Rattus norvegicus: one gene and its partners. The protein of the gene in region 2 purifies or fractionates together with the protein of the main gene of each other region. This does not show direct contact. Links are inferred from orthologs where the notes say so. Each region holds a gene or a part of one and is shown on either strand. Other genes may lie near its edges.

Region 1 (3,331 bases), on a different chromosome or scaffold from region 2:
CCAGCATCAGGAGCAGAGGCAGGTGGATCTCTGAATTCGAGGTCAGCCTGGTCTACACAGAGAGTTCCAGAACAGTCATGGCTACATACAGTGACCTGTCTTAAAAAAAAAATACAAAACAAAAAAACAAAAAACAGAACAAACAAAAAGGACATGTAAAGCAAGGTGACAGTGCTGGCCTAGACTGTCAGTATTCAGGAGGCTTGTAGGGCAAGGCTGGCCGGGCTACAAGAGTGAGTTCACGGGCAGCCTCGTGTGTGGGATGGGATGCTGTCTCCAAGAAAAACAAGCAAAAACATGTAGTAGGAGAGTGTTAATGACAGGGAAAACTATGAGGCAATAAGTCTTAGATGCAATTTCCACGCCTCCAACACAACAACAACAACAACAACAACAAAATGTCCAGTAGGTTTGAGATTAAATAAAAAAAGAAGAAAAGAAGAAAAAAGTTGCTTCAATCTCAAACTGAGGCTGTCAATATTTAGATGCCTCTCAACAGAAAGGAAAACCAAAGCTTCCATGATTAAAACTTAAAAGATTTATTTATTTGCTAGGTCCTCTGCAGGAGCAATGCTCTTAAACACTGAACCAACTCTCTAGCCCCCACCATGAAAAATTTAACAAAATGCTATTTAAGTTTTAAAAACCATGTTTAAATCATACTAAACTAACTTTTAGAAGACATACCAAGGAGCCAAATCCAAGGGTCCAAAAGTGTTCGTTTCGGACTTCTAACACCCCATCCAAGGTAGACACCTAATCAAACATAAAAGTTTATCAGTTACCTGCATTCGACAGAGCAATGCAGTAGTCCAAACACAGTACAGGCTGGCTGTCGCCTGGAAACAACTCAGCTGAACCCTGACCAAGGACAGGCAGTGGCTAGCAGAAGTCTCCGATGGCTCCTGTTTGACTGTTCAGTCCTGACCCAGGCTGTCCCATCCTTGGTCAGCGGCAGATTGCTCAGTGCTTTACAATTTATGGTGGTGTTTTTGAACAAGGTAAACATATTTATGACAGTCATTTCCGGTGCCAAGTTTCTTTTTAAGGTGTGTATGGGAGTGTACATGCGAACTGGTTGTTTTTTGCCCTGGATCTTCCAGTAACAAGCCTCTGTTTGAATGTAAGGCCATTGAGTAAATCCCAGGGCCATGAGGACAGAGGCAACAAAGATATGCTCAGGGCCAGGATTCAGCGTGAGACACAGCCAGCTGTGCTGGGAAAGTGGTCATTCGAAACTGATAGCCCAACCAACGATTGTTCTTCCTCATTAGTGGGTGGGCTTTCTAACAGGAGAAAATAACCTACAAACTGAGAATCTCAGTAGATTAACATGTACACTTGGACTTTCATTTTTAGTCAGAGTGAGAAAGATTATTCAGTTAATATGATGTCTTCTGACTGTTATCTTCTTTCTACATTTACTTCAAGTCAATTTGGCTTCTAAACTGAGCAGTTTCTGAAATTTCTCTGTGTTTGTCCTTGTGTTATAGCTTCTACTCTGTTAGCAGAATTCCCCTGGAAGAAAATTCTAATTGAATATATTATACATACCCACCCTTTTGTTTCTCTGACATAATTTTGAAAGATAATTTATTTACTATTTCAACTTACCTCTCTAATCAGTTTATCCAACTGACCAATAACATGAGGTGGTGTTGTCTAAAAAAATAAAATAAAATAAAACATGAATGGCCTAGGGAGAAATTAACTTTGCAATAATGGTTCTGATGCTCTCCCTAACATCCACAAATGGGTTTCCACAAGCCTTGACTTCTGACATGTCTTATGATTTAGGGAAGAGAGGTCTCACTGGCCTAAGAACATCATTAATAGGTCCACACACATTTTGTTTATTTGTTTGTTTGTTTGTTTGTTTGTTTTTGAGCCTGCCAGGAGCCTGCCCTGGCTTTTAGAATGAATGGAAGGAGGTGGGATTCAGCTTGTAACTCTCTCTTATTATTTTGTGCTAATACGTGCTGGTTTCTGACTACTCTACGGCTTAATGCTGCTGGCTTCTGGTAATAAATTCCTGCTGAAAGTAGCAGGGGATGAAGAAGGGGAAAAGGTCTAACTGCTAGGGCTCTTTTCTTTCTGGCTCAAGGACTTCTCTCTGTCCAGGAGAGAGGCTTAGAACACAGGCAATACTCACAGACATACACATACACTTTGGACAGGCTCAACTATATGTTTCATTAATTCTACAAGTGTTCATGCATACTTACGTATATACACAAATACTTACACATATATGTCTATACATACATATAGACAAACAGACATATACATATATATATATATATATATATATTTGGTGAATGAGACTGAGCCCCAAATGCCACACACATACATTTGGATGGATGGGGCAGAACCCACCCAGCCACTACCTTATTTCTTTTTCTTTCCTTTTTTTTTTTTTAGAGCTGGGGACCGAACCCAGGGCCCTGCGCTTGTTAGGCAAGCGCTCTACCGCTGAGCTAAATCCCCAACCCTGACTACCTTATTTCTTCTGGCCTTTTTATACTTTCTTAGACAAAACTCTATAGAAAATTACCTCATAGATAAAATGTTACTCAAAAGGGGAGTTATAGAAGGATGTTGATAATAAGTTCAAAGCAGTGTTTCATTCTCTAAGCTCATTATAAGCTCAAAGTAATAGTTTCACATGGCCTTTCTTTATCATAGTATACACCAATGGCTTCCTCCTTGGACCTGACCTAGAATCAATGTTTTCCTTGATTATAAATTTGTCCCAAGCCCATTTCTCTTTTTAGTGTAATTGTGAAGGCTCACTGTATTCCTTATTATTCAGCCTTTACTTACTATTCTGTGAGGCAGGGACACATTCTATTCTTGCTTCTAACTTTATTACAACTTTCTGGCAAAACAACCAAAACCGTTTCCTTAAATTTTCTCCTTAAAATGATTTGAATCAAACCAGAAATTCTCTAAAGTCATTAATTCTTCTGAACAGCATTAATTCGTGAAAGCTCATCTTCATGTTCATCTGAGGGAATCTGCTCAGTAGTGTGTGCCGATGCTCAGGCATCGTTAGGCTGTCATGTGACAGGAAAGGCAGCGCAGCAGCAAGGCGAAGCTGTCCCGGGATGAAGTCTCTGAGGACCCTGCCTTCTTAAAGCTCACCCAGCACAGGCTATACAAAATGGTGGCTCATCTCTAGAACACTCACTTGTGTGCTTTTAGCCTTTCCTAGATGGCTTCTGTCATGAACAAAAATAAAGGAGAAAACTGCTAAGAGTGGGAGGGGCTCCCAGGGAGGAAGACACCACACTCTTCCTCACAAAGAAGCTGCTTTCTCTAATCCAGTGAG
Region 2 (3,655 bases):
GTCGCTGTGTCCATGAGCATGGTGGGAATGGCCGTGATCCGAGTGGCAGTGTCCTTGAGAAGGCCCATGGCCATGACTGTGGGCGTGACTAAAGGCACAGACTCCAATAAGGTTTACTATCAGCCCTCCAATGGACACTGGCTAGCAAAAAGGAGAAAAGCAAAGCTTTAATTCTAAAGCTTAGGAAAAAAGGTGCTATTTAGAAGTTATTACATAGCTATGCTTTTCTACTGAGAATTCCAAAACTATTCATAGTAAACTTCACTAAGTTTCCCAAGTAAATCTATCATGTTAAAGATGTGAACTATAAAGTATTTTAGAAGGATCATTCTAACTTTCAGATACCAGAAAAACTGGTACAAGGATTTGAATTTAATGATATAGAATGGCAAATCCTGGCTGGGCATGGTGGTATATGCCTCTAATCCCAGCATTCAGGAAGCAGGGGCAGGTGGATCTCTGTGAATTTCAGGGCTACCTAGTGAGACCCCGCTCAAAACAGACAGGCACATCCTTGATCCAACTGTACAAGTTAACCAAAACTCCAAATTACTTTCAGTGATTTGAGAATTAATTGTTCATTTTCCTACTATATGTCAGTACCAAAGGGCTGGAGAGCTAGCTCAGCCATTAAAAGCACTGGCTACTCTTCCAGAGGACCTAGGTTTTAATTCCCACGACCTAAATGGTGGCTCACAACCATTTATAACTCCAATTCCAAGGGACCCCCATGCCCTCTCTGGCCTCCATGGGCACTAGGCATGCTATGTGGTATATATATATACATGCAGGCAAAACACCCTACACATAATTGAAAATCCAAGTGCCAGCATCAAAGACTTAATGATACACGACTCAGGGCCTTAAGACATCTTACTATGGAAGAATGACTGACTTGACAGCAAGCCCAAGTCAGGGCTGCTAAAGGAGATACAGCAGGATAAGAGATGGCAGGGAGACTGACAGGAAGCACCTGGGAAACTGTGAGGATGGAAGAGAAGACTGAACTTAAGGGCAAGCTCCCCAACAGAACAGACTCAGCAAATCTCAGAGGAATCAGAAGGGCAGCGTGAAGGAAGGATGTACTATCTACAAGAAACCACATCCATAAGGGCTGGGGATAGGAAAAACTAAAAGTTGTTATGATCGTTATATAATCTATTGGGGAAAACATACAATTTTTATTCTTCTCTGATTTTATCTTTAACAATGTACGAATACCCTTAGGTATTTAAAAATATAAATTTTGAAAGAAAAATTAAGTTATAAAGGAACCTGTATGTTTTATAATGTAACCTTATATTTGTCTAAGATATTTGAGAAAAGGATTAATCTCTAAGAGTCTGAAGTAACAATGTAAGCAGAGTAGTCTTTGTTTATTGTTGGGGCACAAGTTTTAAGACTTCAGTGTGTTCCCGAAGCTATGGATGGCACACACACACACACACACACACACACACACACACACACACACACACACACACACACCCCAGTGGTAAAGTGCAGGTCAGGCGTAGGAGACTAGCAACAGTGATGAGATAGACCCACTGTAACAATGCAACACACTAAAGCAGACGGAGTCCTCTGACGGTCTCCAAAGTGCTGGGTCACTTAAAACCTCAAATTTATTTATTTAAGGAATTTTTCATTTACTAGACCATGGTAAACTAGTTACCAAAATCACAGGAGACAAAACAGCACATAAAGGAGACGGTGTACCAAGAATGAAGTTATACTGTTTAAACAAAGTTAAAACATACTACAGCAACAGAGCAGCTAGATAGGCCTTGGTGAGGAAAAGCCGGGTGAGTAAGTGGACACTTAAACAGGAGAAGAAGACTTACTGTCAGCATGTTTGTGTCAAGTTCCGGAGGATCAATCAGTCTAGCCACTGACTCCAGAAACACAAAAAAAGCTATCACTATCAGGAAAAGTCCATTAATAAATCCAGAGAGAATTTCTATTCGGCCATACCTAAACACACATAATAGTTTTTAGAAAAGACTGACAAGTATTTTAAAAATATAAACATTATAAACTTATAATAAAAAGTGAAGAAACAAGCCCAGCTTTTCATACTAAGTGAATAATAATGTAAAATTATCAAAATTTAAAAATACTACTAATAATAGCAAAATTAAAAATAGATTAAAATACTATTAAAATATTATATAATTTTATATCTACAAAATCCTTCTTTATGCCCCTCTTACAAAAAGCCTTATCTAATTTTTTAGCAACTATTTCTTTCTAAAGCTCTAATATATACTGTATCTCTCATGGCACACAGATTCTGTCTGTACCAAAATTATTTGTATACTTGGTTCATTCACTTTTTTAAAAAAAGGATTTATTTATTATGTATACAGTGTTCTGCCTGCAGGCCAGAAGAGGGCACCAGATCTCATTACAGATGGTTGTGAGCCACCATGTGGTTGCTGGACCTCTGGAAGAGCACATAGTGCTCCTAACCTCTGAGCCATCTCTCCAGCCCCCTCACCTTTCAAAATATAAACAATTAGGTCTAAAGAGATGGGCCAGAAGTTATGAGCACTTGGTGTTTTGCAGAGAATTTAGGGATCCAAGGATCTGACTGCTGCTTCTGGCCTCTGTGGGCATCAGGCATGCATATGGTATACACACATACGTGTAGCCAAACATTCAACAGGCAAACAAAACAAAAACCATGCAAGATTTCCAAAATATAAACAATCAATAGGGTGGATTTATTTAGAGGTACGACTTACTAAACACCTTGCACACAGAAGTGATTGTGACATTGGTTGAATTATTGGCAATAATACAAGGGTATTTTCATATATACTCACTTCAAATTTTGAACACTTTTAACAAGGTATGAATAGCTATGAATATTTTATGACCCCAAAGAAACATGGTGAACAAAAATGCAGACATTTTAGGTGGTTTAAAGTGGTTTAGGGGTTAGGAAGAATAATCCTGGGCTGACTGCCACTCAGTATTAATCAAATGCGCGGCTCACACTCCCTGTCAACTTCAAATCAAGTAAAAGCGAAGACTTGGAATGATCTGTACTGGAAGTACACGACTCTGTTTCTGACTGTATTAAGGGAACAGTGCCCTGACAGCACCTACCCGTAGGAGAAAATCCGGGTGGCTTTCCATCTGCTCACCAGGGCAGCAAACAGTCCCATGACCAAGGCGGAGCAGTCAAAGAGCATGTGGAATCCGTCTGAGATCAGGCCCAGACTGTTGGTGAGCACTCCATAGAACAACTCCACAAAGGTGAAGAGCTAAAGAGAGGGTCAAGAAATCATGGGAGGAGTATGTTGAGAAATACACCACTGCAGAGAACTGTTAGATTTTAGTCATAAGAATTTAACCTTTAATTACCCAAGCCTTCTTTTAAGATATGCTTAAAACTTTAATGCTGGATACTGTATTTCATACAGATTATAAAGTAAGCTAACCAGATACATGCATTTTACAAACTCAAAGGCAACTGATTTGTATGCCCGTAGGAATCAGCTGACCAGGCTCTAAATAGATGTCAGCATCAGCGGTATGTATTGACATCTTATGAAGAGGCAACTCTACCTCTTACAAGCTACTGTAGTAATGATTTAAAACAGTACACAAAACCAGCATTTCCACAATACTGCAAAGACTGTTTGCC
Region 3 (3,655 bases), on a different chromosome or scaffold from region 2:
TAGGAGGATAATAATAACTAAAATAGTTATGAAATATCCCTCAAATTATTTTTTCAGTAATGATATTTAAATGGTTCTTTCATTAAATATTATATTTTTGAGGAATGGTAAATCCTTAGAACCAGTATTAGCTTTTCATTTTCTTTTAGTTAGTTTGTTAAAACTTAAAACTATTCCCATTTTCTCCAACATTTAAATAAGGTTTACAGTCAGATGTCATAAGACTCTGAGTGAATTAAAGTTTTCAGGATACTTGGTAGTCATTTGGTTTACTAAGGTAACAAATGGCATAGGAAAATTAAACCCATTATTTGTGCTCTAATAGTCATAAAAAGTTCTAATCTTGACTATATTTTAATGCAAGTATGCCACAAAAAAATATGATGCAGAATTTTCTGGAGAGGACTTGTCTTCCTAGCGACTAGAAGACAAGTAACTGGGATGTGCCTACTGGTCACCTTCCAAGTTTGTGGCGTGCTGCAGAAAGCATTCCTGTGAGATGTCGCTGTCATGTGTCACATTACCCTGCTCAGAAGAGCTCAGTTGGAATGGAAACTCTGTTTGCAGCAAAGGACTTCTTGCCTCCTGGGTTTTAATCTCTTCTATTTCTAGAGTTAATCCTACTTTAGAATTAGATTGGAAGGGCTCACAGTACTGGTTGGAGCATGAAATGTAGCATGTAGTTTTATAAATTTACCATTTTCCTCTAGGCAGACAAATATAATTAAATCGTTTGTGGTTTTTCTCTCTATCAACTCCAAATCTTCCAGAACTGTAAGGAATCTTGCTGTGTCATACAGTGGAAAGTGATCTAATGCTCAAGTAATCTACCAGAGAACTTTGGATGTAAAAATGTTTTAATGTGTTTTCCAGATGTCTGTGACCTTTTGAAATTGTACCCCACCCCACTTGATTGAAATTAATGAGCAAGAGTATTTGAGTATAACTGGAGAAACTTTCTCTTACAGCAAATTATTATTGCTATAATAAAATTACTTATAGAAATCTAATTTCCACATATTACATGCTTTTGCTGGGAAGTAGTGTGTTTGTTAATAAAGAGTTATAAGCAGGATGATTTTAAAATAATTTAATTAGAATTTATTTAAAAAAACTGAACATAATTTTACTGTTATAATTTGGATGCTTCTTGATTCAGGGGGTAATAGGTGTTGAGATGAACTGGCTTAAAGTTCTATAAACAATATATTAGTATTTTGCATGCTATTTTTCTGAATATTTTCTTCCAGTGCCTACCAATTTCTCTAAATTGTATTAGTCATGGAACCCAACGTAAAATAGTGACACCGCCAAGCATATTGAAGCTGCCACCGATGATATGCTTAAACACAGTTCTCATTGACTCTGGTCTGTTTCTTTCAGAACAGTCACCACCCAGATAATGGATTATATAGACCAGATTGCGTAGTGTGGATATCATGGTAACAATACAGGAAGTATAAATTTCTCACTTCTGCAAGTAGTCATGACTACTGAAGAAGGAATCTTTTAAAATGACAGCAGAGCTCATTTGGGTACCTCTCATGGAAATCCTAATTTTGTTTTTAACTTTTGGTAACTTTTCGCTGAAGTCATGAACAAGCAAAGAGCTTGCCTTGTTAGGCAAACACACACTAGTGAGAATGTCTAGAAGAGGACCGATTCTTCACAGCCGGACCCAGTGGCTGCTGGTGGGCCTTGCTTTGCTTTTCAGTCTAGTATTATTTATGTACCTCCTGGAATGTGCCCCCCAGACTGATGGAAATGCTTCTCTCCCTGGTGTGGTTAGAGAAAATTATGGTAAAGAATATTACCAAGCCCTCCTGCAGGAGCAAGAAGAACATTACCAAACCAGGGCAACCAGTTTGAAACGCCAGATTGCCCAGCTAAAGCAAGAACTACAAGATATGAGTGAGAAGATGAGAGCCTTGCAAGAGAGGAAGAAGCTAGGGGCTAACGGCATAGGCTATCAGGGCAACAGAGAGCAGACACCCAGCGACCTCTTAGAGTTTCTTCATTCCCAGATCGACAGAGCTGAAGTCAGCATAGGGGCCAAACTACCCAGTGAGTATGGAGTCGTTCCCTTTGAAAGTTTTACTTTAATGAAAGTATTTCAGTTGGAAATGGGTCTCACGCGCCATCCTGAAGAAAAGCCAGTTAGAAAAGACAAACGAGATGAATTGGTAGAAGTTATTGAAGCTGGCTTGGAGGTCATTAATAATCCTGATGAAGATGATGAACAGGAAGATGAGGAGGGCCCCCTTGGAGAGAAACTGATATTTAATGAAAATGACTTCATAGAAGGTAATATGAAACATATGTTGGTAAGAACCATGCGAGTTGTCATCTGACCTCCATATGTGCATACAGACATGCAAATATAAAAACATTTTTAATCTTTTGATAAATTCTTATGTTAGCATGACAGCATGGTAGTAGCATATGCTAATATATCATTACTACCACAGTATTAAAGCATTTATATTTTTGTCCACTTAATATCACCAAAATTTTGAAATGGCTTTTGGACAAAGTTAAAATAAGATCATAATAAAAACAAGAATAAGAATTAGGATAACAGAGTGAGTCTAAGTCTCAGTGTAAGAATACCAGGTTGAAGGGCTCTTGTGGGCCATGTGATATTCATTCCTCTCTTATCTGGTGTTGACATTCCTCTTAGTTTTTAAAATGTATGAACTAAGGTTCAAAATTTGAAAACCACTTGATAAGGAAGGAAAAATCTAAAGCGTAGGTCAATGGTATTTTCCATTTTTAGAGAAGTAAATGGTCATGGCATCAGAGGGAATACACCATCTTACATTTGGAAATAAAGAAATAACACACTTTCATAGTACAGATTGCACAATGGATGTGAGGTCTTTCCTTTATTTATATGTGTGTGAGTGCTTTGTCCGCATGTGTGTACAGTGTTTGCAGAGACCAGAGGAAGGTATCTGATTCCTTCGCATTGGATCACAGTGCTGGGAATCAAACTTGGGTCCTCTGAGAGAGCGGCGAGTGCCCTGACCTCTGAGCGTCTCTCCAGCCCCAGGATATGCTCTCAAGTTGCTATAACTTAAAAGTCATATAAATCTTAGGTATTGGTTAATTTTTTTAAAAATAAATAAATGTGTATTCCTGTCTGTCTCCATAGTAATTAATGCCCACTGCTAGCATTTCCATTCCACTGCAAACAAAGCCATTTTGGCTATAAGTGTTTCTTAAAAGTTTGTTTTGCTGTATTCTATAAACAGCCTACCACATTCAGCATTTTGTTGGCCTCCAAACCATCATGGCTATCACTTGTATGACTTCTGAAGTCTATCAGGCAGGGATTCTGCTTTGCCCGGGCATTTTAGCCATCTTCTTCCTATGGCCTCTTTTTAGTCAAGATAGTTTTTGTTAGTTGCTTCTCTCAAAATTCTCCAACTTTCTGGAGCACTTAGTTTCTTTTTTTTTTTTTTTTCTTTTTTTTTTTCGGAGCTGGGGACCGAACCCAGGGCCTTGCGCTTCTAGGCAAGTGCTCTACCACTGAGCTAAATCCCCAACCCCTGAGCATTTAGTTTCTTATTTCACAGCACAATTGAAAGCTGCAGCTGACACAGGGTAGTTAAGTAGCGTGTGGCATGTCCTCACTTCCACTCTTCCTTAAGAG

Evidence for each region.
Region 1: the proteins of Slc30a5 (region 2) and Slc30a6 purify together in Homo sapiens (co-immunoprecipitation; 5 studies listed by BioGRID and IntAct, with this or other methods). This does not show direct contact. The link is inferred for Rattus norvegicus from reciprocal best matches to the Homo sapiens genes SLC30A5 and SLC30A6.
Region 3: the proteins of Slc30a5 (region 2) and Csgalnact2 purify together in Homo sapiens (co-immunoprecipitation; 3 studies listed by BioGRID and IntAct, counting the BioPlex papers as one, with this or other methods). This does not show direct contact. The link is inferred for Rattus norvegicus from reciprocal best matches to the Homo sapiens genes SLC30A5 and CSGALNACT2.

The regions. Positions count from the first base shown.
Region 1 is NC_086024.1:26,775,362-26,778,692, forward strand, and holds part of Slc30a6 (zinc transporter 6), read right to left. Parts: intron 1,663-3,331; coding exon 1,615-1,662; intron 757-1,614; coding exon 688-756; intron 1-687. UniProt on the Homo sapiens protein: Has probably no intrinsic transporter activity but together with SLC30A5 forms a functional zinc ion:proton antiporter heterodimer, mediating zinc entry into the lumen of organelles along the secretory pathway.
Region 2 is NC_086020.1:33,685,811-33,689,465, forward strand, and holds part of Slc30a5 (proton-coupled zinc antiporter SLC30A5), read right to left. Parts: intron 3,273-3,655; coding exon 3,115-3,272; intron 1,975-3,114; coding exon 1,845-1,974; intron 142-1,844; coding exon 1-141. UniProt on the Homo sapiens protein: Together with SLC30A6 forms a functional proton-coupled zinc ion antiporter mediating zinc entry into the lumen of organelles along the secretory pathway.
Region 3 is NC_086022.1:152,971,083-152,974,737, reverse strand, and holds part of Csgalnact2 (chondroitin sulfate N-acetylgalactosaminyltransferase 2), read left to right. Parts: intron 1-1,383; 5' UTR 1,384-1,643; coding exon 1,644-2,304; intron 2,305-3,655. UniProt on the Homo sapiens protein: Transfers 1,4-N-acetylgalactosamine (GalNAc) from UDP-GalNAc to the non-reducing end of glucuronic acid (GlcUA). Required for addition of the first GalNAc to the core tetrasaccharide linker and for elongation of chondroitin chains.